Schizosaccharomyces pombe: one gene and its partners. Changing the gene in region 2 together with the main gene of any one other region gives a genetic interaction. Each region holds a gene or a part of one and is shown on either strand. Other genes may lie near its edges.

Region 1 (8,125 bases), on a different chromosome or scaffold from region 2:
TTCTTAAGCTTTCTTTTTTTTTTTTTTGAAAACAAACTATTCTCCATTTCACCTTACATTTTTGGTTGCCAGCTTAAAGGTTCTTTTTTATTATTTTTTTCAATCGAAATTTTTTCCCTTTTCATTGGGGTTATCGAGGGCTTTTTTTCACTTGCATCCATTTTCTTTCTCGTTCTTCTTAGAATTGTCGTTTTTTTATAGTAGCCTTAGTTAGTATGTAAGTATTTGGGGTTTATAGGAATAGAATAGTACTGATAAGCAATTTTCCATTGCTTATATTTTTTTTCTTGATATTCGCTTTGTATTGTATCAACCGTTTCGTATATATATACCTACATAGAAATTAATAACTTTTGTCCTTTTTCTTAGATTCCTACTACTTTGTAAACAAACCATAATTCTTTCCATTTTTATTATTCATAAATAAAAAAAAAAACCCCCGTCAAAATGCTCACATAAATAATTTTGCTGTAACCATTGAAAACGGAACACTACTTTCCAATCAATCCTTTTTCATAAAAAGTTTATAAACATTTTCATTCACTATTCCACAGAGATGAAACGATATTAAAACCAAATACCCTAATAACAAAAATATATATCAATAATCAGACGTCAAATCCATTCATGGAAATAAACCCATTTAAAAAATATGGATCACTTTTACCACGATACTTTTTAGGAGTCCGTCTATTCTAAAAGTAATTCACCAGAAAAGATAGTACGGGTAAAACATATCGTCAAGTATCAATTAACAAGATGATCTCTTTTTTTCATGTTAAATTTTGATTTTTCTCAATCCACCACATCCACCAAACGCTCTACTCTAATTTTATGATTCGCAACACTCAAAATGGGGATACCTGGAATCTTGCGAATCCTTTGCTTCAGATTTTTATCATTGGTAGCAACTAAATAGCATTTGTGCTGCATCACACGTTGAACGATACAGTCATCGGCATACGTGCCTTTGTGAGTGCAAGGAAGACGTTCAAATCGTTCATCTTTGGCAATTCGAAGTGCAATACGATAGCGAATTCCCAATTTTTCCAATTCAGCCATTACACAGTCAGAAATACAAGGAATGGTCTTAGCGTACAGACAGGTCATGAGTCCTTCAAAAAGATCAATCTTTTGCTGAAGACAAAAGTTGATAAAGTTTGTATCAATGATAACATGGTAGGGAGGTCCTAGACTCTCATTGAACTGAAAGAAAAGGTTGGAAGCCATTTGTGGACTTGAGGGGTTAGCATCAAAAATCAATAAAGTGCTTATAAAAAAATTTACTTACATTTCTCGAACTAATTCTCCATTCTTTGTAGTTTTCTCTTTCTCTTTTTTCTGATCTTTCTTTTGCAATCGTTGATCCTTAAGGTTTATGACTCGCTTTACCTGAGCAAATTTGCGTGTAGTTTTTGCTTTACCCATTGAAAATAATTAACGGAAGAGAAAGAAGAAGTGATTTAATTTACAAGTTTCGCATTCAACGTCCAAAGCTCTAAATACCCTTTCAATTGGAAGTGCCCAAAAAAATTATTAGTTGTTCAAAGAGGGAAGCAGGCTGCTGGATGAGACTGAAGGACAATGAAGTTCAATGCATTCTTAAAACTTCCATAATGTAAAATAGTGTATCACAATGGAAGCATAACGTATTTTTAATCCAACTGATCGTTAAAAAAATAAATAGGTATATTTATATAACGATACGAAAAAATACATAATACAACTTTACGCGACATACTTTCTTGTATATTACATTGCCCAAATTATTTCTTTCAATTAACTTATTGTGGTTCAAGGGTAGAAGAGACGGTGAACCGCCCAGACATATGTAGTACGTATTTTAATATGAATTACTTTATTCACTAAAACTTCATGATACATTCTGCTAAATAGTGCTTTCCCTGCGTACCCTACAAACGGTATAGCTTATAACGAATACCAGCGTGCTATTTTAAATGATATAAGTTTTGTAAAAATGGATGAACCTTTGCATTCAACTTTTTCACACATCAGCAATGGCAAAATCAGCACGTTCAAAAAGCATTCGTCGCAATAAAAAAGTGGTATGTTGTATAGTATAGACAAATGAAGGGATTGAATGTCTTTTTTTTTGGTTTCGGAAACGGTTTATGTACAATGGAACCGTCTTTAAAACAATTGCCCTTCTCATACCTCTTTATCGATTATCTAACAAAGTAATAGCTTAGAGAAAACGTTTTTCAACCCGTAATTGATGAGCGGACTAAGCGTTTGTCTGCGCACTTACGTGACCAGGTCAATGACCTTACAAAGTCATCCTCTAGCAAAGAAGAGGGAATCGCCGATAATTCCTTGAAAGAAGTCAGCAGTTCAGAAGTATCCGATAACGTTGGTATGGAAGTTGATCAGCCTAAAGTCTCTACTTCTGGTCCTCGTGACAACAATCGCAACAAATGGGCAAAGAAACATTTAAAGAAAGGAAAGCGTGCCAAGAACAGTAACTTTTCGAAATTTTTGAAGAAAAAGTAAATTTAAGTTCACCATTTAATATATAAACTCCGAGATCTTTTTAAGAACTAATTATCAATCTTTTTTCTCAGATTTTTTTCCTTGGGATAATTTTATTTTCAAATTTCTGGTTTTCAACTGGAGACGTTGACCGTGTTGCATAAGGATTTTGTTTGCTTTTGGGGGGTTTGGATTATTTTATATTATTCTTTATAAAAACATATTTTTTTCCAATAATGAATATTTTGTTTCAAAGACTTACTTTTTTTCACGATGAAGTTTCTATATTGTTGGAATAAGTCAATTTTTTAATTTTATTTTTTATATTTATTGTAATTAAGTACGATGTAACTAATAACGTCTCTCTGTCTCAAAAACTGCACTTTTAAATCGTGCTTTTTGCTTTGTTTACCACATGAAATAGAATTAGTAATGCTCTTGGTTGTAAAACCTGATTTTTACAGAAATGTAATAAAGTATGAATATCTAAATATTAAATTAATTTTATTTGCGTATTTTTTATCGCTTAAAATATAATTTTAGTTATTGTTTGTTTACAAAAGTGCACATGGTTATGATATGCCTTCACACATACATTCCAATATTGTTCTACCACATAAACAAATAGATTGACATTCCATCTGATTTGAACCATCTGCATTCAAAATCGCAATGGAAGAAAAGGAGAACGTAAACTTGGTGGAAAAAAGCAATTATGTTGCACTAGAGGTATGCTCTACTTTGATTACCAGAAGATGTTTGTAACGTTTCTAACCCTCAATAAACAGAACACACGAGAAATAGATGTTTTTGATGAATTCCTTAATGCAATTGGAAATGAAAACACCATTACACCGGTTTACGCCGATAGCTCATTAACTCATTTGCGCAAAAAATCGTATGTAACATAATAAATTTAACAAATTACCTATGTCACAAAGGTTCAGAGAATCCTTTGGATTATTAACGGGGTTTCTCGAAAGAAAAAAAAACATCGTCTGAACCTTTGCAGCAGTTTTGCTTTTATGCTAACTAACTTATTTTGCATGCAGCTATACTAAAGTAGTTCATGACTGTACATATGCTCTAGTCATCAATCCGTATGATAAAAAAGTGATATGGAGGAGAGGACTAGCTTATTTGCGACTTGGACATCCTCACTTAGCCAATCGTGATTGGGAGCATTCACTTGAACTGGACCCAAACAATACATACATCCAAAAATCTCTTCATAGATTAAAGGAAGTGTATTACATTTACAGAGAATGTGCAGAAACATGGCAGTTAAGACACCTTAGAGTTGCTTCTTCTCAGCAATTACCTGTAGGATTGCGAAAACAATACCCTAATATAATTCGTGGCAAGATCTGGTGGAAGAAAGTGCACGACAATTGCCAATTGTGTGGACAGCAATGCGAACTGAAAAAGGAGAATCTTTCAGCAATGCGGTCTATGCTTTACATGGCAAATACTTATGCAAAGGATGATACCGAAAATCACTCGCCCAGCGCCCAAATCGGAATAGAAAGCTCGGAGGACGAATTAGAAAATAAAATAACTAAGGGAGAACACTCTCTATTGGTCCCAGAGGAACTGTACAGATCCAATTACCCATGCCCTCAAAACATAGATCAGTTTCTTTATATGATAAAAGTCCTATCTGCCCCCTGTTTGTACATTGAAACGTTTTCATTTCCTATTTCCACAATTAATCAATTGTTCAAAGCTCATGGAATGTCGGTTGAGCAGTTAAATTTATTCTTAAAATCAATACACTATATCGGATTGTGTTCAAGGTTTTGCAAGCAATGGTCCGACAAGGCACGATCGCTGATGCAAGCGTTGAGTGGGCTGCCGTGGTTCAGTTTTGTCGTGCAACATTGTTTACATATAACGGCAGCTCAAATTCTTTTGCATATTCCTGACATCCAAGAAGAAGAATTCAGAAACTGGCATGTTTCCAAAAAACCCATCAACAATACTGATCTCTCTTCTGAATTTGAAATTGCAGAGATCCCAATCAATTGCTACACATGATAACATTGATGACAATAAATTTTTGTATGTTAAGTCAGTCCAGAAACCATCGATGCAATCATTTGGAGTAGAAGGCATTAATAACCGTGTGTAGTTTATGAATAACACATTCATTGTATATCAACCTCTTATTTTCAGTGCTGAAATAATCATTATCAACCACATGAAGCTATATATTTGTGGGCAAAGTAGAAATGTTTGCCATTTTGTTTACCGCCGGATACACCAAGCAATGAAGACAGTCATCGACCCAATACACAAGTATTGTCCGTCAAATGTTAAGTGTAATTGTTAAAGAAATTGAACAAAATGAAAGAGACAAAAAAACTTTCAAGACAGTTTTGTGTTGCACACCAATACTGCCGTTTCTCATACTCTGAGTATATGCCATGAATCGCATATTCACGATTTAATCAAAATAAAAAAGATATCCAAAATATCTACATCTCTGTTACTAAATTGCTTGTTTATTTATAACAAAGCCATTTCACAGATACACAGCCAACGTGGTAAAGCAACCCTTTTCTCATAATCGCTACAACAGCAAAAAAATATATGTCTAATGCAGGTTTTTCAATTTTCTATTATCTCTATTAACTAAACGTTCATTTCATACAATTTTATCGGTATGGCAAGGTTATGGTAGTCTACAAGTTGAAAACCGCAGAATGAATCGGCTATTATATGCTTACGATGAGGATGACGTATTCCATATGTTTGTGTTACGCTGCACACACTATGACGGTTTCCCAATACTCTTCTTTTGACCTTAGCTCTTTACATAAATTCCAGTAAAAAAGCGAAGAAAGCCGTTTTTTTGTGTTTGTTGAAAAACGATACGTTGGTCCTTTTGGTGTTTATGTTTTTGTGCTTGTATTAGAATAATAGATTGTATAGAGGCTTGTCATCGTAAAATTGTTTCAAAGGCGAACGCCAATTTTAACATTAGAGCTTGCAATTCTTTAAACGAAGCACCATTACTATTCTCTTCCTTTTTTTTGTATTGTTTTTCTTTTATTTTTTACTCTTTAGGGTGGATTTAAAGTTGGGCACCCCTGTAGGAGTATTCTAAATTTGTTGTTGTGAGAGTAGTTTATCAGGTGGATTTATATTCTTTTCGCTTTTCTTCCTAAGATCTTTAGTATCCTTATTTCCTCCCCTTTCTTTGTGAGTATATCGTATAGGAACAGTTACGTTACTGTTGTATGAATATTAGACGGAATACTGGTTCAATTTCTAAAGATGGATTCTGGGTCAAGAGTAAACGTCAACATTCAAGGGACTCGAGTTCTCAAAAACAAGCTGGGAAAAATTCCTGACATCGACATATCTACAGATGGAAAGTACTTATTATCTGCATCAACGAATGATGTTCTGTTAGTTTGGGATTTGCACACTTCCAACAAAGTTGCGTTCTTTGAAGCACCAAGCGTATGGATTATGACTTGTGCATTCTCACCCTCCACTAAGAGCATAGCAGCTGGAGGGCTGAACAACTTTTGCGTAGTATACGATACCAGTGTTCCAGATGCGGATCCGGTCGAATTGGTTGGGCATGCAGGATTTGTTTCGTGCTGTAAGTATGTCGATGACGGTCATTTGCTTACGGGTTCTGGCGATAAAACTTGCATGTTTTGGGACATAGAGCAGGCAAAAGCCATTAGCGTTTTGAAAGGTCATGAAATGGATATTGTCTCTCTAGATTTCCTACCCTCAAATCCCAATTTATTTGTTACCGGAGGCTGTGACAAATTAGCCAAGCTCTGGGACCTTCGGGCTGCTTATTGTTGTGCCACATTTCCCGGAAATACATCGGATATTAATTCCATTTCCTTTTTTCCTTCTAACGCTGATTTTGTTACGGGTGCAGAGGATGGTATCGCTCGGTGCTTTGACATTCGTGCTTCTGCTGAGATATTCCAGTATTCATCTCCATCATCCTCCCCCATTAATTCAGTCTTATTTTCCAAGTCTGGAAAACTTCTTTTTATCGCAAAAGATAAAACATGCGAGGTTTGGGATTCCATCTCAAGCAAAACCATCACATCATTAACAGGCCATGAAAATCGAATTAGCTCTTTAGCTTTAACTTCTGATGGAACAATGTTGGCAACTGGCTCTTGGGACGAATGTGTTCGTCTCTGGTCTTCGTCAGGGTAAATTAATGATTTTTTTTCTCCTTTTTTTTTTGTCTTTGGAAATGATGATGTTTGTTTTGTTTTTTTTTCTTATACATTTACGTTTTCGATTCTAGGAGGTTGACTGCTTCATGTCCCACTGGTTTATTATTTTTCTTAATTTTTTATACGTTTATGCGTGGTTTCGTGATGCTTTACTGATAATGTATTCATAAACCCTTGTGTACTAATTCCCTATTTTTTTCGTTACGTTTCTCTTTTATTTCTAAACAAAAATATACCTTTTCGAAAATTTCGCCTTGCAAAGGTTGGCGCTTTTTTATTACTATTTAATTATTGCGATTTTGTAAACGTTTAATCCTAACGATTACCCTTTAGTCTTTTTTTCTTAAAGGTATTTTTCTTCTTACGTATGATAATAAACTTTTTTATAAATGTTGTCTTGCTGTTTTTTAAAACTTATTTTTATGAAAGAACAACCCAAATATTAAATTCTTTTATTAAATAAAATTCTATGTATGTATACTACGAATTGAAAGAAACTGTAAATAGCTATAATACAAAGAGCGTAAAGTACCCGTATTCGCTCTTATTCATCTAAAAATCCCCCCATCACCGATGCCCACTCGTTAATACAAGAACCTGGCTTAGTTTCATAATCGGGTATGTTGAAGGGGCAATCACAATTACAACCATATTCTTGACCACAGTGTTGAATTGTGGAATGTTGATACCCAAGGTCTCTAAAGTAATGGACTTGAGATCGATTAAGGAGAAGACCCACTGCTAGCGAATGCACCGGAGCATCGCCCCACTAAAATAAGTTAGTAATCAGAGATAGGAAAAAAGTATGAAGAAGATTGCACTTCGAAGAACACAATGCTTTTTTTTTTTTGAATAAACTGTAAAAACATACCCTTTCAGTCCAAAATCCTCCAGCATTTTCCAATGCGTCGACATATTCATTATACTCTTTACTATTGTAAAAGTCTAAGCGTGCAATTTCGAAGTTACTCCAAAAATGGCATAGATTATAAATCTGGCCATCAATTCGGTTTAAAGGGGGCTCCGGTAAAACGTAATATCCTTGATCTTTTTGTTCTTCTTTCAGCTTTTTAATTCTCGTTTCATAGCGTTTATCAAGGAAGAAGCTCCAAAGATCGGTAGTTGGTAAATTGGATATTTTTTGATGAGCAACAGTGTACCGAAACAGATTTGGAACAGTTTTTGCAAGTTCTTTGATAGCAATAACGTATCCGTAGACTTTATTGTGCTTGTCCATGTAGTAAAATGGGTCATAAGAGATGTCACAAGAAAAAGTGACTTCCGGTTCAAGTCTCCAATACCACTCGTACTGTTGCATTAAGGGATGTTTGTAAAAGTTTCGCGAAAAGAATCTGCACATTTTATGATAACTAGGAAAGTTCGCATATACGACTCCAACTTGTTCAGCAATACTC
Region 2 (9,548 bases):
ACTTTCAGATTTTATTCAAAAAGTTGGTGCTCGATACAATTTTTAATTCATCCGTCCAACTTTAGCTCAAGTAGCAAGAACCTGTCTATCTGTGCCAGTATCTGTTCCCCATCTTCTCAAATTTACTTCGACGACCAAAACTAATTAGTTCAAATTGAGTTATGCCTATTCTAACCAGTTCAATATTCCGCTACTAGTATCTTACCCTTATTGATCTGACCTTGTAACAAATGCGGTTTCTTCTCGTCAATTTCTCGTGGAACCATTTTTTTTAATATTGATAGAAATTATCTAAAACTATCACATCAACTTGTATAAAGGAAAGGTTTTGAATGCATTAAACAGCCATTGCGAACAGCTACTAGATTCTCTGAATTAAAAACTACATTTTTCACTGGCATGTAGCTTATCTGGATGCTGAATACCCACTTTCTTTTTCAGCTTTGCTTCAAGGTTTCGCTGTAAGCGGAAAGTGATTTATAGGTCTCTAGGAACTGTCCTTTTCTTGAATTTTAGATAGATTAATTGATGTAGCATTCTTTTTCGTTGCAGTGATAGTAAAGCTTTGTATTGTCAATTAACAGTCCTGTTTTAGTATTATTAAAACTACATAATTAATATTGAGCTCTACTGAGAATTTATTTAGTAATATTTGGAATTGTAACAAAAATTCAATTTTTGCAACTGGCATGTTTACATTTTGAGATGATGACCTACCCTCCCCTTTTAGTGGATACTTGGCCTACGCTACTTTCCCCATTCATACTACGGTGAAGGCTAAGTGAACGAAAAATCGCATTTTTTAAGCCTTACATGGCATATATTATTTAATTTTAATTAGCATCAACATCGACTTAATATATGACGATGTTTATGCAGCTTCAAGGTTAAACATGCCATCTTCGAATTCGGGAAATGTATGACTTTTGATCGTTGTGTTAGCTGCGTAATTAACGCTATTTCTAGGAGTTACTTTTAAGATTCTTTGAGTCTGCCCATTTCACGAGTCAACTTTGTGTTGCATATCTTTCACGCTATCCTAACAATATTGGCATTCATCACTTTCTTTGCGAAAAACTAGCAACGTATGTCTACCGTATCATTTCTTTGTTTTTTATGTCTAACACATATTAGATTTCCTTATGAAGAGATAGAATTTTTTATTCCTCAATTAATGTACGTTTATTTCGATAAATAAAGAAAAATTTTTGGGGGGAAGGAAAGTACCAAAAAGTCGAGCTCATAAGTCAGTGAAAGCCGAGTATATGACTCATATGCCTATTTCATAATTTAATGACTCTCTTACCTTTTGATTTTCTTTCCTTCAAACGTTTATTCCGTTGTGTTCGTGCATCTCTAATATCATACTGTAGTCATCTCGTCCTTAACAAAGATTCTGAAAGCGTTGCTTTAGAAGAATTTATCATTTCTCAATGTGAACAAAATACACAATGCGCACTCATTACATTTTGGTATTTGCAAGCCCATATGGTGGATCTAGGTTTACAGCCGCATTCTTCTTGTTTTAAAATATGTAAACGACTTTACAATCGTATTCAGATTTTGGTTTTCATGTCATCATCATCGTTAATACAGTCCCAACAAAAAATCTCCGAAAATGTAACCCCTGCCCTAATCCTTTCAGGCATCATGCTAGGTGGTGTTTGTGTGCCTGAACTACTAAAAAAAGCTGGCCCCATTGCAATTGCTCAAGGCCGTAAAGCCCCTAGGCAAGATCCAGATGAATCAGATGTTGATGTTTTACGCCGTCTTTCCACCGAACCTCGATATTCTCTGGACGTATTACGTTCGTCTTTGAACAACTCTATTGTCGAGCAACATTCCGAAGTATCCCTTAGACTAAAAGCTCCAGAACTAACCCGCACCCATTCATATCAATCATCAGCTACATTATCTATTGACGAACAGCGTCGTGTTCTACGCTCTAATTATTTTCAACAAGAAATTCAATTTCTTTTTGCTTTACAAGATATATCTATCCGTCTCATCATTGTACCTAGACAAGCTCGCCTTTCTTCATTACGCGCCGAACTTGCTCTTTTAAATAACAACCTTCCAGCCGATGTGAACATACCGCTTTTACGATCATATCATAAAGAAGTGAGTCATAAAATCGTTCGCATTGATCCTAAAGAGGCTACCATACTCAATTCTGCCGAACGAGTACCTTATCTTATTATGGTTGAGGTCCTATCTGGTGAACTCAGCTTCGAGCCACAATCGAAGAAAAATAAGGCTAAGGTGCAAAAGATTGTCTCTCATAAAAACCAAAGAAAAAGGTGGTTTGACCTCACAGATGTCGATCCTTATACGAACCTTCAAGACAGTACCGACAATGATATTTCAGAGTCGGAAAGTGAGGGAGGGGATTTAAGTATGTCTCCTCTGATAAAAGGGTTGGTACCGGACACTCTTTCTTTGAGTAAGTCATTCTCTTCGTTTGGTAATGTATCTTTGCAGGTACCGTCCTCTCATAGAGATACCGATGTCGTCCTGTTATCTGGGCGCCACTCTGATTCTGATGGAAATGGCGCCTTAAAAAGAAGTAAAATCTATGCTTCAGAAATAACAGCGAGAATGCGAGCTGCGGCAACTATGCTAAGTCAGCTTGATGCTGAAGGTAGCAGACGTCCCAAAGCTGAGACTGAACGAATAAAAAATAGCATTATTCTTGACATGCAAAGACTCGAAGAAGAGCGCCTTAATGAACCATCCATTTATCCTGTTTCAGTCGACATATCATGCGCAGAAGATCTGCGATTTGGCAAAGAAACTCAAAAGGCAGAACGGAAAGGTGATAGAGATGATCCCAGTGCCGCTACATTCCAAGAAGATTGGTATGCCAAGAAGGAAAGGATAAGAAAGTCTTCTCCTTATGGTCATTATCCCAATTGGGATTTGGTCAGTGTGATTGTTAAAACGGGTGCGGATCTCCGGCAAGAGACATTTGCCTGTCAACTTATATACGCGTTTCAGCGTGTTTGGCTAGAGTGTAAAGAAAAGGTTTGGGTTCGAAGGATGAAAATTTTAGTGACCGGCGACAATAGTGGCTTAATAGAAACGATTACAAATGCCATTAGTGTTCACTCTATTAAAAAGAATTTGACGAAACAGCTTCGGGAAGCTGAACTAGCCCAAGGAAAAATTGCTGGTAAAAATGTTGTTACATTGAAGGATTATTTTATAAAGCAGTTTGGTGATCCCAACAGCAGCCGGTATCGACAGGCACAGACAAATTTCCTTCAATCATTAGTGGCATATAGCATTATATCATACTTACTACAGTTAAAGGATAGACATAATGGTAACGTTCTTATTGATAGTGAAGGTCATATTATACATATTGATTTTGGCTTTTTACTTACGAATACACCGGGGAATGTTGGCTTTGAAAGCGCTCCATTTAAGCTTACGGCGGATTATTTAGAAATCCTTGACGACCGGTTTGATGAATATCGTTCCTTGATGAAAGCTGCGTTTAAATCTGTTCGAAAAAACGCTGATCAGATCATTTTGCTTGTTGAAGTTATGCAAAATAATTCCACAATGCCTTGCTTTCGTGCTGGTGAAAACACAAGTGCACAACTTTTGCAACGTTTTCAACTACAGCTTGGTGACAAAGAATGTGATGACTTTGTGGATTTGTTGATTCAAAAGGCAAATTGTAGTGTTTGGACGAGACTTTATGATCTGTTTCAAAATATTACGAACGGAATTTACTAGTAAGTGGCTATTCGTTTTCTCTTTTCATTTTTTTCGAATACAGCTACGGAGCTTCCACACTTGAACCATACTGCTGGTTGGCTTTTTTAACTTTCAATATTGTATTAAAATCACCACATTCACCATGGTTCGTAAATTTGGTAATTTTTTTGTTAGCTAGATTAGCTATATTAATGCATTAAAAATATTTTATGTGATCTATATGATTTATCATACCCACTAGAAACCCTTGCAATTATAATATACTATTAAAGCATACTGTCTAAATTAACTGCATTTCTAAGTTAGCAAACAATTTGGCGTAGTTAAATCCGGGTTAAAGAATCCTTTCGCACTTCCGTATATTGACATACCAAATTTTAAAGTAAGATTAGGTACTGCAACCCACTTCAATTTACCCTTTACCATCAAATTGAAAAATTAGGCGCAAACAGTAATTGTATATTAGAACTTGGAATTTTTTTCTTTTCATTTATAATTTTGTGTTATAATCCTTTGTTCCTTCTTCTACTAGGGGTTGTTTCTTTGCACAATATTGTAGTTGACATTGGTTAATGGGGTATCTTCATATTGATTACAGTATTCGTGATATAACAAAGAAATTTGGTAGGAAAATTTTAGTGTTGATTAATAGTTTTTCTTATCAGGATTATATCCAACTGAGGTGAATTATTACTTGAGACTTTACATCATTAAATTTTATGCAGGTATTAAGTCGTGATTATATCAGTCAAACAAGTACCTTTTGAATTCATTTTCATACCTCTTCTTGCTTGAAAGAAAGAAAATCCCTTTTTGCATCTACAAGCAATTAATCCAACAGTGACATTTTGTGTTCGTATTTTCTTTTACAATAATCGTACATAAATTGGTTTTTTGAGTGATTATAAAATGATGAATAAGTGGGCAAAAAATTGGTTCGGGCTGTCTAAAAAATCGGTTTCCACCAATTCTGCTAAAGGGTCACTTCCCCGAAGTCCTTTGGCAAGCATCCAAACCAATCAACCAGTTGAGGAAGGTGAAGGTGGTTCACTTCCTTCAGTTTCAAATTTAGGTCCTTCCTCGATAGACCATCCCATGGAAGAATTCGCCAGTGACCAGTCTACGGTTGGTAACAGAAATAGTAATGATATATTACCTGAAGTTGACCATGAACCTTCAGGCTATTTGAAACTTCAAATAGGTTCATTAGTTTTGGGAGGACCTCATACTGATGCAGCATTAGCCATGGAATGCTCAAGACTTAATCAGTTGTTTGTTGTTGTTCAATTTGGTACGACGGAGTTTGTTTCACCTCCATTGAAATGGGAATCACCTGGCCGTGATATAGGCACATCTAGTCGGGATTCTGCTAATGTGAGTAGGAGTTCATCTATGATGAGCTCTCATCCCATTCCTACTCCTGCAATTCAACGTACGTCTTCAATTCCAAATCCCTTAACTCCATCTTATGTTGTATTTGATGTTGCTAAACCGGTCCCCATCGATGTTAATATTTATGACCATGGTAATAATAATGAATTTGTTGGGAGAACTTACATTCACCCGTCTTATAATTATGGTCAATTTGAACAGTTTTGCAACAGCGTTGAAGTTTCTCCCGCATACAACCGTATGGTTGATCTTCGTCTTTCTCTCAATACTGTTTTCCAGCCTCTCAGTCAACACTCCTACGGCCCTGATGACTTCGTTCCGTTGAAATTAATTGGAAAAGGTACATTTGGTCAAGTCTATCTTGTTCGTAAAAAAGACACCGAGCGCGTATACGCAATGAAAGTACTTTCCAAAAAAGTAATAGTCCGTCGCAAAGAAGTTGCACACACTGTTGGGGAAAGAGACATTCTCGTCCAAACTTCTGCAGCTGATTCGCCCTTCATCGTTGCTTTACGTTTCTCTTTTCAGACCCCCAAAGATTTATATTTGGTGACAGATTATATGGCTGGAGGCGAATTATTTTGGCACCTTCAAAAATCGGTACGATTTCCAGAAGAAAGGGCAAAATTCTATATTGCCGAATTGTTGCTTGCTTTGCAAGCGTTGCATAAACGAGGAATTGTATATCGGGATTTGAAACCTGAAAACATTCTTTTGGACGTTCAAGGACATATTGCCTTATGTGATTTCGGTTTGTCAAAGGCCAATCTTTCAGTGGGGACTACTACACGTACGTTTTGCGGTACCACGGATTATCTAGCTCCTGAGGTTATTTTAGACGAAGCAGGGTATGATATGATGGTTGACTTCTGGTCTTTAGGGGTACTTTTGTACGAGATGACATGTGGCTGGAGCCCTTTCTACGCTGATAACACACAACAACTTTACAAGAATATCGTGTTTGGTAAAGTCCGTTTTCCTAGAGGGTTGCTATCTGTAGAAGCCAGAGATTTGATTAAGCTATTATTGAATCGTAATCCAAAGCATAGGCTTGGTGCACATGGGGATGTTGAAGAGGTAATGAAGCATCCATTTTTTGATGGAATTGATTGGAAGAAACTCGCTGCGAAAGAAATTAGTCCACCATTTAAACCAATAGTGGAAGGTGAAATAGATGTTTCTAATTTTGATGTCGAGTTTACAAATAAAGCAATCGATAGAGACTTTAGTAGCACAGATGAAATGTCGACCTCTGCACCTTTATCATCAACTGTCCAAAATGGGTTTAAGGGTTTTACCTATATTGACGCAAGTGCTATGGATGAAGCATTCGGATACCACAACTCAAATGATTCTGCTTCTAGTATTTCCAGTCAAGATGATTATTCTAAGGACAATTCCGATATGGACTTAAATCGTGCGAACGATGAGGTATTTATGGGACAAATAGATCCATAATACGTTTGGTCTCCACGAATGTATCACTGCATTGAGAATCTTATGCCCATATTTTTTCTAGGCTGGATCCCTGAACCCGAGAGTATCTTTTTGTACACGCTTTCAATCGTTGTACTATTTTCTTATTTACTAGTTGTCCAGCAAAATTTCAACATGTATTTTGAAGGACAGGTAAATAATGTTTTAATTTAATCAGCGCTTAATCATTGAAGCGTATCGTTTTAATTTTTTTTTATTTCCCTTCTAAGAATGATTTTTTAGGATTGTTATTAAGATGCCTGTTTATGTGGAAGCAGGTTCGGGTGAAGTTCATTTTTTTTCGGTGCATATTAAGGGAATACTTAATGATCAAAGGATCTATTATTTCTATATTTTAATCTACGTTCACCAGGCTTTTTTGGTGTAATGTTGGGCTTGTATGGCGTTGAATCAACTAATTTTGGAACAAATTGTGCTTAGTTTTTTTGGTTCCGAACTATGACTTAATTGTGTACAGTGGTAATTACACAATTCCAAAATTCGTTGAATTGGCTGACATTAGTAGTAAGGTATTTTGCTTTACTAAGTAATTGTCATCTTGCTTAAGGCTATTCTATCTCCAATTGTAATGTCTTCGATTTTGTTCCTCTCCTTATTTTTTTTTTATTTTTCTCTTTTGCTGGATAGACGTTTATTCAGTTAGGTTGAAGTTCAGTTTTACGAATGTATAATGGTGTATGTTAGAATCTAGTTAAAGACATATTCTTTTAAACGCAAAGGAATTTAAAAAAAAGAAAAGACAAAGTACAATAGCAGTATTATTGATGCCCTCCTTGAGGGTCGTTTTGTAATAGATCTTCAGATGAAGATGTATTTGGATACTGTCGTATACGATAATTTGTTTTAGATATAACGATAATGACATAAAAATTTTTTAACTATGGTTTTGGAAACCAGTTTATCGATTTTTATTTTACTTGTGATTCTCTTCATTCATTTGTCTTGTGGGTCTTTGCCACAAATATTCGATATAATGTTTATAAAAACTAAATATGTAAAAAAATAACCTGTACATTCATTTTATTAAAAAAAGTAATTATAATAAATATTCTTTAACTTATGGTACACATAATATTGTTATCATGTATGGTCTTGATGGAGAAAAGGTAAATAACTAAACTAAAAAATTTAAAACGAAGTAAAAAATATCGGTAAGTACGAAAAATAGATAAAATTTAATAAAAAAAGGAAAAAAAAAAAAACAATTACATTTTCTCAAAAATCACTTGAAAACTAAAGACTCTTCTTGTTTTGTAATACTAGACTTATTCAATTTGACTAAGTAAAACACACTTGTATAATAAATAGTATATTTTATTTGTAATGATAACAAGGTCTCGTGGCCCAATGGTTAAGGCGCTTGACTACGGATCAAGAGATTCCAGGTTCGACTCCTGGCGGGATCGTTTTTTCAAAAGCTCAAATATCGTGAATACTGTAAAATACCTTTTAAGATCGTGCGTCTATGTATCCTATTGCAATCCAGTAAACTGCATATGCATAGAGGGATTGTGTTTTTAAAAGCAATTAACCTCGGTAATATTATGTATTTATTTTTTTTGGCGTAGACACGCCTTTGATAAAGAAGCGATATGAGTTAACAAAAATTGAAGATAAAATTTATTATTAATAGGTTCCTAAGATTGCGTCCGAGACCATTCACTCGAAACTTCACCGAGATGGTATTTCATTAAATAACGCAACCTAACGATATATCATAAATTAGATAAGGCATATTTGGAATTCGCAAAACGCAGCTTAAGTAGAAGCTCGCATCTCAAATATGTGCGTTGTAGGGAGCGCGAATTTTTACCTGCTCTTAGCCAACTTGAACATACAAGGACGGGAAAGAATTTAGGGGGAATATGAGGTTTGTAGAGCTAAATGCCTTCAAAGTATTTATTACTAACGGAAATTTAGGGTACATACTTGCTATTTCTGCTCGGGTCCTGTTTACCCAGGACATGGAATAATGTTTGTTAGAAATGACTCCAAGGTCTTTCGTTTCTGTCGCAGCAAGTGCCATAAGAACTTCAAAATGAAGCGCAATCCTCGTAAGGTATGTTTTTTTTATAATAAAGGAATGCAAAAACGTTATACAGACTTGGTTGAGGAAGATGATTGATTTTGAAAGAGGAAAAATTTTTTTCTGTTGCCTTGTTTTGAAATGATACTTTTCTTCTTCAAATTCTACCTTAAATGGTGTACTTTTTCCTTTATATGCCCATGAACGAAGAAAGTTTTCTATTGTTTTTTTAAATGTTTTGCTTCCACCTATATGTATGTATACTAACTTCAATGTCTAGGTTGCTTGGACCAAAGCGTACCGTAAGGCACATGGAAAGGAAATGGTTTATGACACAGCTCTCGCAGTTACCGCAGCTCGTAGAAATGTTCCTGTTCGTTACGACCGTAATGTCATTGCAACTACTTTGAATGCCATGAAACGGGTTAGCCAAGTTCATGCCAAGAGAGAGCGTCTGTTTTACAAAAAGAGATTGGCTGGCAAACGTGCCCAAGAGCTTCAAGAAGCTCAAAAACTCATTGCTCAAAATGTTCCTCAATTTACCGAACCCGAAGGTGAGGTTGAAACTGCTGAGGTACAAGAACCCCAAATTGTTTCCGACGAGGAGTATACCATGGAAGAAGAAGTTGCAGAACCTGTCAAGATTCCCGTCCTCGCCAAAAAACGCAAAAACAAGAAATCTCGAAACTCATCTTCAGCCATGCAAATGGACTAAACACTCTTCTTCCTACAAAAATGTAACTCTCGATCTTCCGTTGGTTGCGTCCCGCTTCGTTCTTTTATTTTATTTTATTTTATTGTTTTATTCCTTTCAAATTTACAAAATAGTAGAAGAGAAGACATTTTTGGGGAGTGGTTTTCTTACACTTTCGAACTCTTTAGACACTTCGAAAACGTGTTTTTTAAA
Region 3 (6,836 bases), on a different chromosome or scaffold from region 2:
ACTAACAGGTCCAAGGTTTTTCTCTATTTATATAGCTATGATATTATAATTTCAAATACCATGTTGCCTTTTGGAACAGTTTTATTAAAAGCGTTTTATCACAATATATTAGCAGAGAAAACTATAGTAAATTTCTACGAACATTTTCACGGCTAAAAGTCATTGATTTAACATTAACGGAGTTCAATGCTAATGAATATGGCTTTGTTGTCAATTGCTTTATGTTTATATCAATTACAAAAATCAGTAAAATAGATCTTAACAGAGAACTTCTCTGCAATCACGACTTGATGAATAAGAGAATAAACCATAAATATGCTATGTTTAGTTAGCGTATCAAACATAGTGAAACGTAAAGTTTTCTGGACTTTTTATCGTTAATTAGATTAACACAACTCTATAGTGTTTGTGGTAATTGGATCTTAAACTATTTTACATAATGCTTTAGTATTCTTAATAATTATTATATCGCGCTACGATACTTTGTTTTACTTAAATTAGTATTTTGTAATAAACAAGAATATCTTTATTCGATAAACTAATTTGGACTTGAAAGCAGTCACACAGTACAAACTCAAGAATTCAGTGTAGTAAACTCATCACAGGAACAGAAATGGTAAGGCTTTCAATAGAATAGTTAAGAAACCGGTTTGAGGATAGAAATTACTGACAAAACATAGGGTCGTGTACGCACCAAAACTACGAAGAGAGCTTCTCGCGTAGTTATCGAGAAATACTACCCTCGTCTTACATTGGACTTCCAAACCAATAAGAGGATTGTCGATGAGGTTGCTATCATTGCTTCCAAGCGTCTCCGCAACAAGATTGCTGGATACACGACTCATCTTATGAAACGTATCCAACGCGGTCCTGTCCGTGGTATTTCCTTCAAGCTTCAAGAAGAAGAGCGTGAGCGCAAGGATCAATACGTTCCTGAAGTCTCTGAGCTCGAGAAGGACAAGATTAACGTTGATCAAGACACCAAGGATATGCTTAAAGCTCTTGGCTACGACTCTATCCCTACTGTCGTTGTCGCTGCCTCTCGCCCTGAGCGTCCCTTCCGTTACAGACACTAAATAACATTTTAAAAAAAATAAGATGTATGTTCTTTTGAACTGTCACGGTTATTTATTTTTGTGATGCATTTTGTACCATATTGTTGTATTTGTATTCATTTCGATTTGTAGACAGTAAAGTAGGTACGTAAAATCGCTCCTCTAGAAGCTCGGTAGTTAAATTTATTGTACATTTAGTTTAGACGATTTCAATTTTTTCATTTTTGTTTTTACAATCTTACAAATTTACTAAGACCGTTCGTTGTGAATATGATACCTACTGAAGATGAAAGTGCAATGGGCAGAAGTCGTTTAATAAAATAATTAAAATTGGCTGTTGTACAAACGCTCAATATGTTGACTTGACATATTAAGAGAAAAGGAAACTAAACGGTAGAATAATAAAACAATTCAAATTATGATAAACCCTGAGACGTAAATTCAATAAATACTTTTTCTAATAAATTCACTCGACGTCTATACCGGAAACATTTTGTAAGGATTCATAATGATAAAAGTCTTCCGTCTTCAAAGACCTCAAACCGCCTGATTGTATGTCATATTTGATTGCTTCCAAATCATTTCCATGCTTGTCAAAAAGCTCTCTGCGTGGAACTGATAAAGCAGATCTACAGACTTCCTTGATATATGAGCCAGACAGTCCAGCAGTGGCATTAACAACTCCATTCCAATCAAAGTTCGCTTCTAACGGTACCTTTTTTAAATAAAGTTCTAAAATCTTGCGACGCTGTTCGGCATTTGGAAGAGGTATGGAGAATACTTTAGGCATACGACGCCGAATGGCCTCGTCGATGTCAGCTGGTCGATTAGTAGCACCCAAAACAAGAACCCGTGACTGACCACTCAATAAACCATCCCACATCGACATAAATTCAGCTTTAATTTGAGCCATTGCTTCATGGTCTGTCCTTTGGCGTTGCCGCAAGAAAGTATCAATTTCATCGATAAATATTATAGTAGGCTCAAGCTTACGAGCTAGTGTGAATAATGCGTCCACAAGCTTGTTTGATTCACCGAACCATTTGTCTGTTAAAAGGCCCACACTCACATTTATAAATGTAGCTTGACTTTGCTTGGCTAATGCTTTAGCTAGCATTGTTTTACCACATCCAGGAGGCCCGTACAAGAGTAAACCCTTTGGACACGACAAAAGTCCGCCATGGGTGTCAAACACTTCAGGGTATTTTAAAGGAAAAAGTACATCTTGCAAAAGCTGATTAACATGTTCATCCATACCTCCAATATCATCAAAGGAAACATCGATTTCGCTGGGTAGAACGAGCTGTGATGCAACAATCTGCTCATACTCATTTAATTCCAGAGTCTCCAATTCCTTGACTTGTTCCCCAGCCCACTCATCAAGTCGCTTACGGCTTTTGGAAACTGTATCCTGCCTTTTTTGTCGATACGGATCTAAAGTAGACAAAAGTTTATGTGCTGCGTACCAAGAGCAACCAAATGCTAAGGCATAGACAACGATCTCTTTAATTGCCCTTTTAGTCGTCGGATTCATAATCAATTCCCCAGTAATAAACTTCAAAATGCAAGCACACAAAATTTTATGCAGTAAATTTGTCTGGTGGCACGCTACTACTATTGGGGCGGTTGGTATGTTCAGCTAAATGGGTAAAGAAGATATACAAAGTTGATCGTACTTTGCTACATTGTTTGGAAAATATATTCATTGAAAAAATTATTTTTAAATAAAAAATTTTCATTTTCCTAAAGAAACAATCCCAATGGTTTCAAAGCGCAGTTATCAATTATCAAAAGTGGTAATGTAACAATAAATATTTACTCTCTGTGCCAAAAGATTTGGTTATAGATGAAATAACAATTAGTAAACAATAATAATTAAGCAGAGATTTTTTCTGAGTAAATAACCCATTGAAAAATGAGAATAAAAATGGAGCGAGAAACCTTTTAGGAGATTTGGATATACTTATAAATATCCAAAAGGGAACCTAACGGAACTATATACAAAACAATAAAGGACATATCAAGACTAAATCGCTATGCCCGTCCAGTGAAGCTCACTGTTTAACATATCCTAAACGGAAAAACCATTCCTATCATTCGTAAATTCACGAAAATTTTTAAATTATATACAATTTTTTCCTCCTAGGATTTATTTGGCCTTGTATTGAGTCGAACTTGACGACGAAGGATTTTCACCTTCACTAGCAATGCCTTCTTCTGAATCAGATTCGGGATTACTAGGAGGATGCAATATAGACTGTAGGTGGTTCATTTGCTTTAAAGTTTCATCAAAAATATCTTTTCTCAAATTCCATGCTTTTACATAATTCGCGTTTTCTTCTTCTAACTCACGAATAGCATCTTGCAACTTTCCTATTGATCTGTAAACCCGGTCAGTCTAAAATATTCAATATAAATCTGGAAACTTACTCTTGTTGTTCTGTTCTTGATCTCAATCCTTTTGACATTATTGGCTTGGCCAACTCGTCGTATTGTTCACGCTTTCTTAATTCTTCTTGGGCAACTAGTAAATCTTGCTCAAGCTGGCTTATTTCGGTTTTTTCTGCTTCACAAAATGTTTCTGAAAATATTAATAAAAACATCACTGTACTTAAAGTTACGAATTTAATCACATACGAGTCTTCTTCAGTTCTCCTTCGTAAACATCCACTTCTTTAGCATTCATGTCTAATTGCATTTGCAATCGAAGCCAAAAAGCAGAGAGAGCAGAAAATTCAATTTCTAAATCCCTTAAGTTTGCTTCGTCTACATTTTGAGCAGCAAAACCAAGACACCGACTAATCAACCGTTTCAAAGGCCGTTCTTCCACAGTTAAGCGCGATCGAATCGCCGTCTCTGACATATCGGTTAACTTAATATTTTCAAAAAAAAAATTATTTATAGCATACCCTCCATAATGAATTGAGTAAAAAAAAAGCAAATTCACTATACAATTTAGTTGGGCGCTAAGTCAGTAGCTGGAGTGTTCGGAGTTTTAGTCACCGTATTTTACCGATGTTTACCGGCAAAAAGTTATTAGTACGATTATTACCTAAGAAATGTAAAAACGCTAACAAGGATTGCAGTTTGATATTGCTATAGAACAGGCGGGCAAAATGATTTTACCTCTTTTTCCAGAGACACAAGTTCATGTTTTTGTATATGAAAATGTTTCTAACTGTGCTGCGATTCATGAACAACTAATAAGCCAGAATCCCATTTATGACTATGCGTTTCTCGATGCCGCTACTATTCTATATAAAAAGCAGGTTTATAGCGCTATTATTAGGGCTCTCGAAGATAGAAGGGACGAACAAATGAAAACTAAGACGATTCACTCAGAGGTTATTTTGTCATTGTCCCCAAAAACCGAAATTTCTAGTGCGTTCCGACAATTCAGCATGACAAAAAAATCTAAAAACATTGTAGTGGTAAAAATTGATAGCAAACTTACAGAAGAAGAAGAATTTGAGCGCTTGGACAAACTTGTGGAAGGTAATAGGGTCGAATTTTCTGACGAAGAGTTACAAAAATTAATAGACTTCAAGGTGTTAAAAAAGAATTACAAATTGGATCCCTCTACGCTTGAGAATCCTTTGGCCTCTATATTATCTTCGATAGCTCTACGTGGTTATTCTTAAAAACATATGTTCTAGCAAATCTGATCTTTTGTCAATGTTTCACAATTGATTTGACTATTTTTCTATGCGGCTTGAATGATAATGATGAGAGTTCCAAATGGAACGTTGTGTGGATTCTTCTATTCCTTATAATTTTTTCCTCTCTCAAATGACTGTACAAACTATTTAGCAAGCACCTACATAATCAATTTTTGATTTACGAATTGGTAAAGGATGGCACGTAAAGTTATGCCCTCTGGTTTGGTTCAGTTTTATGATCTCTTGACAGTTTTACTAAAGTAACTAAGGGCATTTCATTACGATTATCTGTTTCGATACTTTTACCTAGGGAATGCTTTAGTGTTATTTGACATCATGTTTTGTTCTTGTGCAATATTTTTTGCTCAGGTCTATTGGCGATGAATTACTATATGGTGGATCTCAGTGCAAAAAGTTTACCATTATGTGAATAGTTATTAAAAGTTTAATGGGATTATAAATTAATGGGTTTTTTATTGCGCACCTTATGCTCCTGTTATAAAGAAAAGCAGGTCGCAAAGGTAAGAACTATTTTTATACAACAATAAAGGTTTTTACATCGTATGTTTTACAATTAACTGGCAGCTCTTTGTCAAAATTGTTTATTTACGGATTTAACTTGCCTTCTTGCGGTATTGACTGCTAAGCCGGAATTTGTGATATCAAGCCATCCGTTTCCCAGTCACGCGAAAACTCTTCCTTATGGAAATTTCATTTTAACAAGTACAAATCTGTTAAAACTACATTCATATAATCATATGCAGGCAGCCGATTAGAGAAAAACTAAATTTCTTAGGCAGAATTGTCATTATCCGTCAATACCGCGTTTTTTTTATTTTCCGCTTTGATTTTTTTTATCATTCTTTTTGGTTCTTTTATTTTTGTTTTTATTTGTTTTGTTTTCTTTTTTTCCTTTTCAAAAGTCATTTGAAGACAAAAACTCAACGTTGAAGAGAGCATTTGTTCATCTGTTGACTTTTCGCCAATACACCTGTTTTTTTATGGACTTGCTAAGTATAGTGTAAATTTAACGCTGTCGTTGATCCGTATGATTTCTTTTGATTAATTTAAATCGTTATATGTGACACTAGCAATTTTTGCTTCATGGCGGAAGAGACTGAAGAGGATTATTTAGTTGTGGGTCGTGATTACTTGTACCCCCCAGATCATGAACTGCACTATGGGTTTCATGCTCGTGTGATTGAAGAGGAGGAGGAGCGATTTGTAGATGATACCTTTGATGAAACAATCGAAGGATCGGATGACTCCGAATCAATAGATGATACGGAAGTATTTTACGATGCTGAAGAATCTGAAAGCACTCACCCTTCTGCTTCTTTCAACGTCCTTGCTGACGCCGTTGCGCTTTATGATTTCGAGCCCCTCCATGATAATGAACTCGGTTTTACTACTGGTCAGAGACTTTGTATTTTGTCGGAATCCAGCGATGGTTGGTTGATTGCATACGATGATGCCTCAGGAAGAAGCGGGCTTGTTCCTGAGACGTTTGTTAAATTAGAGGTATAAAAGAGCGTTGAATTGAACCCTTTTTACTTTTTCTTTTTGTCAAATTGATTTTAAAATGTTATTCCTTATTTTATGTTCCAAGATTTTCTGGATCCTCTCCTTTATATATAAGAATCCGAAGTGTTACGGGAAAAAAATTCGGATTGTCACGCTTCTTATGAATATTATTTAAATGTACGCCTTTAAAGCAACTATCATACAATTCTCCTTTGGGTAAATAACTAACCTTGGGATGTGTCGTAACTTGGGACTTATTTTTGATTTGTTATAAGGATGAAATGAATGTTCTATCTTATGGACCTTACAAGAAAAACTATAATATTGTCAAATATAATCATATGAGATGAGTTAAGCTACATAAAACTCTTTGAAACTTTATTTTATATTATTGCAACCTTCTAATAACTTTACATCTTCTTATCCAAAGAAGAAGGGTTAGAATGTACCGTGTTTTACGGAAGTTCCATTCCCGTAGGGTTACAATGTGTTGCTAGAATAAACCGTAAGTCATAGTACATATAGAGGCCAATTCTGTAAACTTTTTTAAAGTCTATGGAAAACCCTCTATGTGTCTCCAATAGAGAACGGACATCTC
Region 4 (7,114 bases), on a different chromosome or scaffold from region 2:
GCTTTACCAGAGCTGGACAAGGATTTATTAAAATTCGTTTGGGTCGTGGATTTTCCTCTTTTCTCACCAACCGAAGAGAAAAATCAATCTATTACATCTACACATCACCCATTTACTGCTCCTCATTGGGATGATGTACATTTACTGGAAAAAAAGCCTCTTTCTGTTCGTGGACTTCATTATGATATAGTCGTGAATGGTATTGAATTAGGGGGTGGCAGTATTCGCATACACAATCCAGATATTCAAAGATTTGTGCTTAAAGACGTGCTTAAATTACCAGAGAATAGGTATGCTACATTTGAGCATTTAATACGCGTATTGTCTAGTGGCTGTCCACCGCATGGTGGAATTGCATTGGGTTTTGACAGGCTGGCTGCGCTGTTGACGAATGCTCCAGGAATTCGCGAGGTCATTGCTTTTCCGAAAACCTCTTCGGGTGCTGATCTTTTAATTGGCAGCCCGTCTGCTATTCCAGAAGAGATGTTGAAAGACTACAACGTTGCTATTACGCGACAAACTCAAAACCGTAATTAGATAACTTAAGCAAAAACATTAATCATTTAATTTTTTTTATACAAAATTTTAATCTAATGCTCATAAATGGGAACACGACCACGCAACCTCGCGGTCATAAATCGGCTCATTTTAGGTTTTTCATTTCCATTCTCATCCAAAGGTATAACTGCCTGTTCTTCTTCATCCTTAATATATTCACCTGTATTATCTATCATTTTTTTTCTCAGTTCGTAGTAACGTTGTGATATAGCTCGTTGATCACTAATTTCCTCGACTTTCGCATCGAATGCTTCTTTAGACTCGCTAATTTTGTCAGATGGAGTTCGTTCAACTACAAAATCTTTTACTACAGATGGTTCATTTAAATATTCCTTGGAAGTTTCCGAGCTTTTTTCTTTAGGCGGTGCTTTAAGCTCGGATTCTACAGTAGATTTGTCTTCTTCTTTTGGATTTAACTTTGTATTCGCAGCCCGATTATTTAATGTGTTACTCAAATCATCGTTCTTGATTGTACATGTGGCATTAGAATGGTTGCCCTCTTCGTTTTCCTTTGCGCGCAATTTGCTCCTTGCTTTACGAAACGCTGAAATACGACTCTGAAAATCGTCTGGTCCAAAAAGATTATCGTATTCTTCAGTTGGAGCAGGTATAACTTCAATATTCGCCTTTCCACTCCGACTGACGTGTTTAATTTCCAGCGTGTCTGAAAAATGTACCTTTCGAGGATTTTTTGACGAAAGCTCTTCTTGTTCAACGATTTGTGGAAAGTCACTGACATTTAGGCTCTCGTCATTACCATTGACATAAGTTGTAGCACCAGTCTTTTCTGTAAAATATTGAGGATCCGGTGGAGCTTTCAGTTCCTTGGAAAATCCTATCGTCATACCATGTTCATCTTCCTCAGACTCAGAATTATCATCTAATTCGCCTTCCTCCTCCATTTCCTGAATGAGAGCCTCCATATCTTCTAAAGAGTCTAAACCGTCGTATTGTACTGCTTCCAAAACATTTTGTCCTTGCGCAGTCGTCGGAACTGGTAGTAACATCGGTTCTTCTTCGACAATTTTATTGTCGGCATTATCTGGTTCTTCTATACTACTACTTCTAGTTTCGTTTATAGAATGAATAGATTCATTTCCTAGTGAAAGCTTTTCACTAGATGTAGCATGATCTTTGTTGCCAGATTTTTTTGTTTCTAGCTTAGCTTGTTTAAATTTTGAAAGACGCTTAGGTCGTTTTTTATGTTTAGACGTGCTAGTGTTATTATCTTTATTAGATTCCCCAGTATCTTGGGCCTTCGCTGTCGGATGCTCTAACACAATGTCTCGTAAAACTTCATTTTGGGTATCTTGATGTCCATTTTCATTTAAAGTAGAGTTATTGAGAGCATTCAATATCGTTTCTTTATTTTTTTCAATAGCAGAAGCGTTTGACTTTATATTTGAAGTAGTTCTGTTTTGCATTGCATTATTTTTTTTGAAAAGAAAACCCTTTTTAAACAAAGAAGTCTTGCTACCATTTTTAATTTGTTGAACCATATCTGAATCACTCAATGAAGCAGCCTGACTATTACTAATAGGACTCTCATATGTTTTACTGTCTGAATGATCACCATGTTTGCTGGGAAATTCTGAGACACCAAGTGTTGGAGTTGAAGTAAATTCAGTATTAGAAGGTAATGAGCCCATTTCTGGAGCTTTGTAGTTAATATTTTTCGTAGAATCGTTAATTTCTTCTTCAGATAGCTCTTCAATTCTCGAAGATGTATCACGGTTCCCCCCATTTTCAATATTTTTGAAACCAGGAAGGGATCGAAAGACATCCGCATAATCTATTACAGATGAAATTCTTTGTGGAGCAACAGAAGCACTTATAATATTTCCATCTTTATCAACTTCTTCATGAATATCCATAACAGGTAACCCTTCTGAGTTTCTTACTATCAACTCGGATTTCTTCTTTTCAATTGAAGATGCTAAGTCATTATTGTAATTTCCCAAAAGTAAATGAATATGATTTAAGACTGGATTTTCATTAGCAATTAGTCGTTTGATGAAGCAAACATTATCACTCAATTTATAAGAAAAAGTAACGTACAATCCACATGGGATGCTGTTTCACATCCTTCAACTTTTCCATCTTCCTTACAGTAACGGATCGCCCTACCGACTGATTCAGAAATTTCGCTAATCTTAGAGAAGATTTGCTGTTCAAAATTGATGGCTACTAGTCTTTCGTCGTTCATTCGATAAGTTGTTTTAAAGGATCTTAAATAGAGTTATTGAAGAATTTCTAATTCAAAATAATCTCACGCCAACGATCGTTTCGTGGTTATTCCGGAAAAAGGCATATACAGCTTATTCGGGCAAGCTAATATTCACTTTAAAAACGAGATAATAAGTAATTCTAATAAATTTTAAATACTTTTAGTATTTAAATAACAGGGTAACTAATATAATATCGAAAAATCGATGTTAATGGAAATGGCTCAAACTGAGTAGGAAGCCACCGACCTGACCCTAATGTACGTAGAAAGCGCCATACTGCAAATGTCCTAAGCATCTAGTAATTTGGTCCCTTACTTTAAATTTTAATATTTTCTCACTGAAAATAATTTAAGTAAAAGCAAATGCATGTCTTAATCCTATAGGTCCAACAGTTTAAGCAAGTATAAAACATAATTTGAACATTAATGGGGGACTATTTTGCCTGGGATTTTGCAAATATCTCTGGGAGTAATACTTCTGGCTCCTTAAATTTAAATCAGTTGAACTGTAAGCGCTAGCAATGATGGTTGAGTTATAAATCATTCTGAACATCCCAAGCGTAAAATAGCTAACGGATTTTTCTAGTGGACAACATAAATAATGGTTTGCATAATCAGGAGGATGGAGCTGGAGGAAGGAATGAAAATTCTGAAAGAGTTGGAAGCGGGAGTCCTGGAAGTGTTTCCATGCAGGTTTTGTCTCTCTTCAGTGCTGTAAACTCAGCTTTGGCTACTTTGGAAAAATCAGAGGAATTCCCTTCTGTAGTTAAGGATGAACAGTCAATTTTTCCTGCTGTAGCAAAGGCGTCTAATTCGTTGGACGAGCTGGCCCAAAACATAATTCCTGCTCCTTCTCCTCCTGGGTTTAATAGAAAAAGAAAAACCTTTGATGAAGACAGTTCTGTAGAGATGATCCGAAGAGCCATATCAGATCATTTGGATTTACTGAACAATTGTTGTATTGGCATTGCTAATTTGAATGAGGACAGTGTGCACAAAATTTCACTTACACGTTCAGGGAAACCTAGTCAGCTGGTAACAGTTTCGTGTCGACATTCCTCTGTCATACAAAAGTCTTATGGGTCAGAGAAACGTTACCTATGTCCACCCCCTATGGTTTATATTAATGGGAATTACTCTTCTATATTCAATCAGTCTTTTCGCACTGAGATATCAATAATGAATGATTTTGGGCAATGTTCGCAACCCATCAGCGAAGAATACACTGGCCAAGGATGTATGATTTTTCGGTCACTGCATATATCGAGTTTGGTCGCTGCGAAATCTAAAAACTTACGGCTTTCTCTGGACATGTTCTCGAATGTAAATAACCAATTGTTATCTCATTTGGTTACTTCTTCTATTAGTATTGTCTCCAAACCTTCGAAAAAAGGAAGCAAACTAAAAATTAGTAATATTACGTTGCGATCCGGTTCAGTCGTCAGCCTTTATAACCGGATTAATTCACAAACTGTACGTACAAAGTATACATCGATTGAGGCTGGTCAGTTTTGTCTTCGCGGTGATAGATGGGTGCCATTGCGTATTAACCTGCTATTACCAGATGAAAATGGTAAACTGAAGGTATGCGACGATGTCGATAACCCAGAACCCATTAAATATGGCTCCATCGTTGAATTGGTCGATGAAGCAACAGGAACGACGAGTGACCCTTTAATTATTCGACGAGTAGAAAAAGACCACATTGCTGAGGAGGACGGTTACGTTAATCAAATGCATAGAATTGTATTAGAAAGCGCATATCCCATATCAAACGTACGGCATCTTAAGATCGCTGAGCATAGTTCACTGGCATATTCCAATAATATTTCAGTCCGTTGGTTTCTTGGGGCCACGTCGGCACAAAACAGAAATGCATCTAGTGAGGCTATATTGCCCATAGAATGGGAAGCTGTTGGAAACTTGAGTTCAAATGAAATGACTCGAGTTGGAGATTCTGTATGCTGGACTATAGTGGGCATATCACATTTTGACTGTACGATGATGTTACCATTCAATCAAAATCCTGTACCAACGGTTACTGATTATCCATATATTGAAGAGCCACCCGAATATTTGGAGAGCTCGCGCTCATTACAATTTAAAATTGGAGGCTATTCGGTCGGATTACAAATTTGGCTAGGTGTTCATGGACCATTGTCGTATAGTTTTACCGCAGCTGCTGATACGAGTACAATGGGTACGGTCACTCTAGGTCTGTCGCAAATTTCATATGATCCTTCTTGTGCAGAACAAAAGTATCCTTTGTTGTTCGTGATTCCAGGTGGGATTGTCATTATTGGAAAATGCGAGATTTTGCTAACGTCAAGTGCTTTTGGAAACTGATGCATCATGATTAATTTTACGTGTGGTTTCATATGGCGAAATATTGAAATACAATTTGTTTTCAAAATGATGGAATTAGGTTGAAATCTCTCTTATTAAATGAACTTTATATTGTACAAACATCCTAGCTTATGGAAACTCTAACATATAGAAAGCAGCGGAAGCTTTTGATAAGATAATTGAATCGTCGAAAATATGTACTTAATAATTATGATTTTCAAAAGCTGCAAAACAGAAAAACTTTTAATAAACTAGTAAGGTGTCTGTCGAGAGCTGTCGATCATATATTATGTGGACCGTAATCGTTTCTCCTCGGGAGGAGTTGCTGTATCCACTTCCAAATTTAAATATCTTTTATCTGCTTCTCTTAAAATTTTACTATAGCAAATTCCTTCAACTTTTGAAATGCTGTTCTCCATTACTGATAATTTCTGCTGTAATTCTGACTTGACCTTAGATGGTAAGTGTTCAATTTCTGAGCAGTTTTTGTGTAGTCCACGAAGAAATTTAACTTGCTGAGTGAGTTGTTGGACAGAGAACTTAGAGCCGTTGGTTACAAGGAATCTCATTATTTCACCAGTCATGTCACAAACACCGAGTACATAGTCGATGAAATTAATAGAAATTCTAAAGCTACTATCTTTACAAGAAAGTAACGTACCTGTTTGTAACCAGAATTTGAAAGTGACAGCTTCAACATACTCTTGAAGGCCGTGTGTACAAGCAGAAGAGAACTTGTCTGCATTTAATCCAGCCAACTCTCTCTTCAGACTTTCTAGTTCTTTGTGAATTTTTTTTTCAAAAATGGATGTTCTGTCGAAATCCTTGGGTAGAGGAAATCCATCAGAAGAGGATGTTTGATGTAAAAGAAAGATCATTCGTTTACTTTGAATTGTGATTTCACGAGAAAGACGAATAATTTTCTCCCTCTTATCTTGATCCTCCTGTAAAAAATTTTTAAATGAGAGGAATTCCTCTTCCATATTTGGCAAATTCGGTTAAAGTTTTATAATATCCTCAATTCAGCAAAGCCGTGTGGAAGGTATAAATGTATAAGTCTATATTATCAATTGAATTAAATGCAAATCAAGATGACTATTTGTTGTTTAAGAGACGAAATATTGTTTAGTGGATCATTGAGTAAGGTTAGTTGGCTCTGTGCTATGAAATTGAAATAGTGATTTGAGCTGCAGCAGGACAATCGACCATGTATGGAATGAAGAGAAAATATTGTTAATAAAGATCGGTTAATAGGAATAATGAATTTTTTTGGTTATTTAAATTTACTGTGGACTAAAGCCATTTGCTTCTGACAATAAAATCTTGAACATGTGAAAATAATAAATATATAAAGAAAGAAATTTGAGCTTTGCTTGAACAATTCTGAAAATAACTACCCAAGTTTTTTGTCATTTCCACGTGTTATTTAGTTATATTTCTTAAAAAGAGTCCCGTCCTTTTTATATTTACAACATCATTAGTATTTAAAATAAATCTTAGCCTACTTAAAATCCAAGGCGCAAATGATTGTTTATCACAGCATAAATTCTTGCAATTAACGAAAGAGTGTACATTCATCAATCAATCATTTTACTAAATAACAATGCCGATGAAAACAGACTCAATACTGCTTAATTACTCAAATACATTACCAGGATTGCCCAGTTAAAGAGTATGTAGAGAAAGATATTATTCCTACTCAGCGTTGGCACAAAATTCATTGTGTTAAATGCTTTATTTACAAAGCTGTAATTGCTGATAAAAAGTGTCACAAACCGGGATCGAACCGATGACCAACAGATCTTCAGTCTGTCATGCTCCCAACTACACCATTGCGACTAGTTGTTATCCATAGTCATTATAGATCTAAATAAATTGTATTCTTAATAATGGTTTTATAATATATTTTTCAAATGCAGTATTGACAAATACATATCCTTGTCATTCACAGATTATACATTTGTAAATACTTCCTATGTACTT

What was found.
Region 1: mutations in sck2 (region 2) and git5 together harm fitness more than expected from each alone (negative genetic interaction), as found in Schizosaccharomyces pombe (2 studies listed by BioGRID).
Region 3: mutations in sck2 (region 2) and cgi121 together harm fitness more than expected from each alone (negative genetic interaction), as found in Schizosaccharomyces pombe (2 studies listed by BioGRID).
Region 4: mutations in sck2 (region 2) and uri1 together harm fitness less than expected from each alone (positive genetic interaction), as found in Schizosaccharomyces pombe (2 studies listed by BioGRID).

What each region holds. Positions count from the first base shown.
Region 1 is NC_003423.3:1,458,557-1,466,681, forward strand, and holds git5 (heterotrimeric G protein beta (WD repeat) subunit Git5), read left to right. Parts: upstream 1-5,292; 5' UTR 5,293-5,769; coding exon 5,770-6,687; 3' UTR 6,688-7,189; downstream 7,190-8,125. Other genes in the region: bem46 (palmitoyl-(protein) hydrolase), read left to right, coding at 1-7; rRNA endonuclease Utp24, read right to left, coding at 796-1,237, 1,292-1,428; ribosome biogenesis protein Llp1, read left to right, coding at 2,019-2,066, 2,206-2,511; mug93 (TPR repeat-containing protein), read left to right, coding at 3,163-3,219, 3,279-3,388, 3,543-4,527; putative alpha-1,2-mannosyltransferase Omh5, read right to left, coding at 7,255-7,479, 7,582-8,125. UniProt on the Schizosaccharomyces pombe protein: Beta subunit of the heterotrimeric guanine nucleotide-binding protein (G protein) involved in glucose-induced cAMP signaling.
Region 2 is NC_003424.3:5,043,605-5,053,152, reverse strand, and holds sck2 (serine/threonine protein kinase S6K family Sck2), read left to right. Parts: upstream 1-4,140; 5' UTR 4,141-4,635; coding exon 4,636-6,576; 3' UTR 6,577-7,537; downstream 7,538-9,548. Other genes in the region: glo3 (ARF GTPase-activating protein), read left to right, coding at 1-46; Golgi-specific 1-phosphatidylinositol 4-kinase, type III-beta Pik1, read left to right, coding at 894-917, 967-1,085, 1,135-1,176, 1,374-3,744; ribosome biogenesis protein rlp24, read left to right, coding at 8,481-8,485, 8,536-8,674, 8,922-9,356. UniProt on the Schizosaccharomyces pombe protein: Protein kinase that is part of growth control pathway which is at least partially redundant with the cAMP pathway.
Region 3 is NC_003421.2:917,251-924,086, forward strand, and holds cgi121 (EKC/KEOPS complex subunit Cgi121), read left to right. Parts: upstream 1-4,127; 5' UTR 4,128-4,171; coding exon 4,172-4,696; downstream 4,697-6,836. Other genes in the region: rps1702 (40S ribosomal protein eS17), read left to right, coding at 614-616, 681-1,076; yta4 (ATPase Msp1), read right to left, coding at 1,522-2,589; THO complex subunit Tho7, read right to left, coding at 3,205-3,436, 3,486-3,636, 3,693-3,911, 3,965-3,971; skb5 (Shk1 kinase-binding protein 5), read left to right, coding at 5,819-6,241. UniProt on the Schizosaccharomyces pombe protein: Component of the EKC/KEOPS complex that is required for the formation of a threonylcarbamoyl group on adenosine at position 37 (t(6)A37) in tRNAs that read codons beginning with adenine.
Region 4 is NC_003421.2:324,331-331,444, forward strand, and holds uri1 (prefoldin-like protein), read right to left. Parts: upstream 2,765-7,114; coding exon 2,617-2,764; intron 2,543-2,616; coding exon 591-2,542; 3' UTR 538-590; downstream 1-537. Other genes in the region: dar2 (aspartate--tRNA (Asp) ligase), read left to right, coding at 1-537; DNA-binding transcription factor, CBF1/Su(H)/LAG-1 family Cbf11, read left to right, coding at 3,212-3,293, 3,372-5,131; tfx1 (translin family protein), read right to left, coding at 5,419-6,114.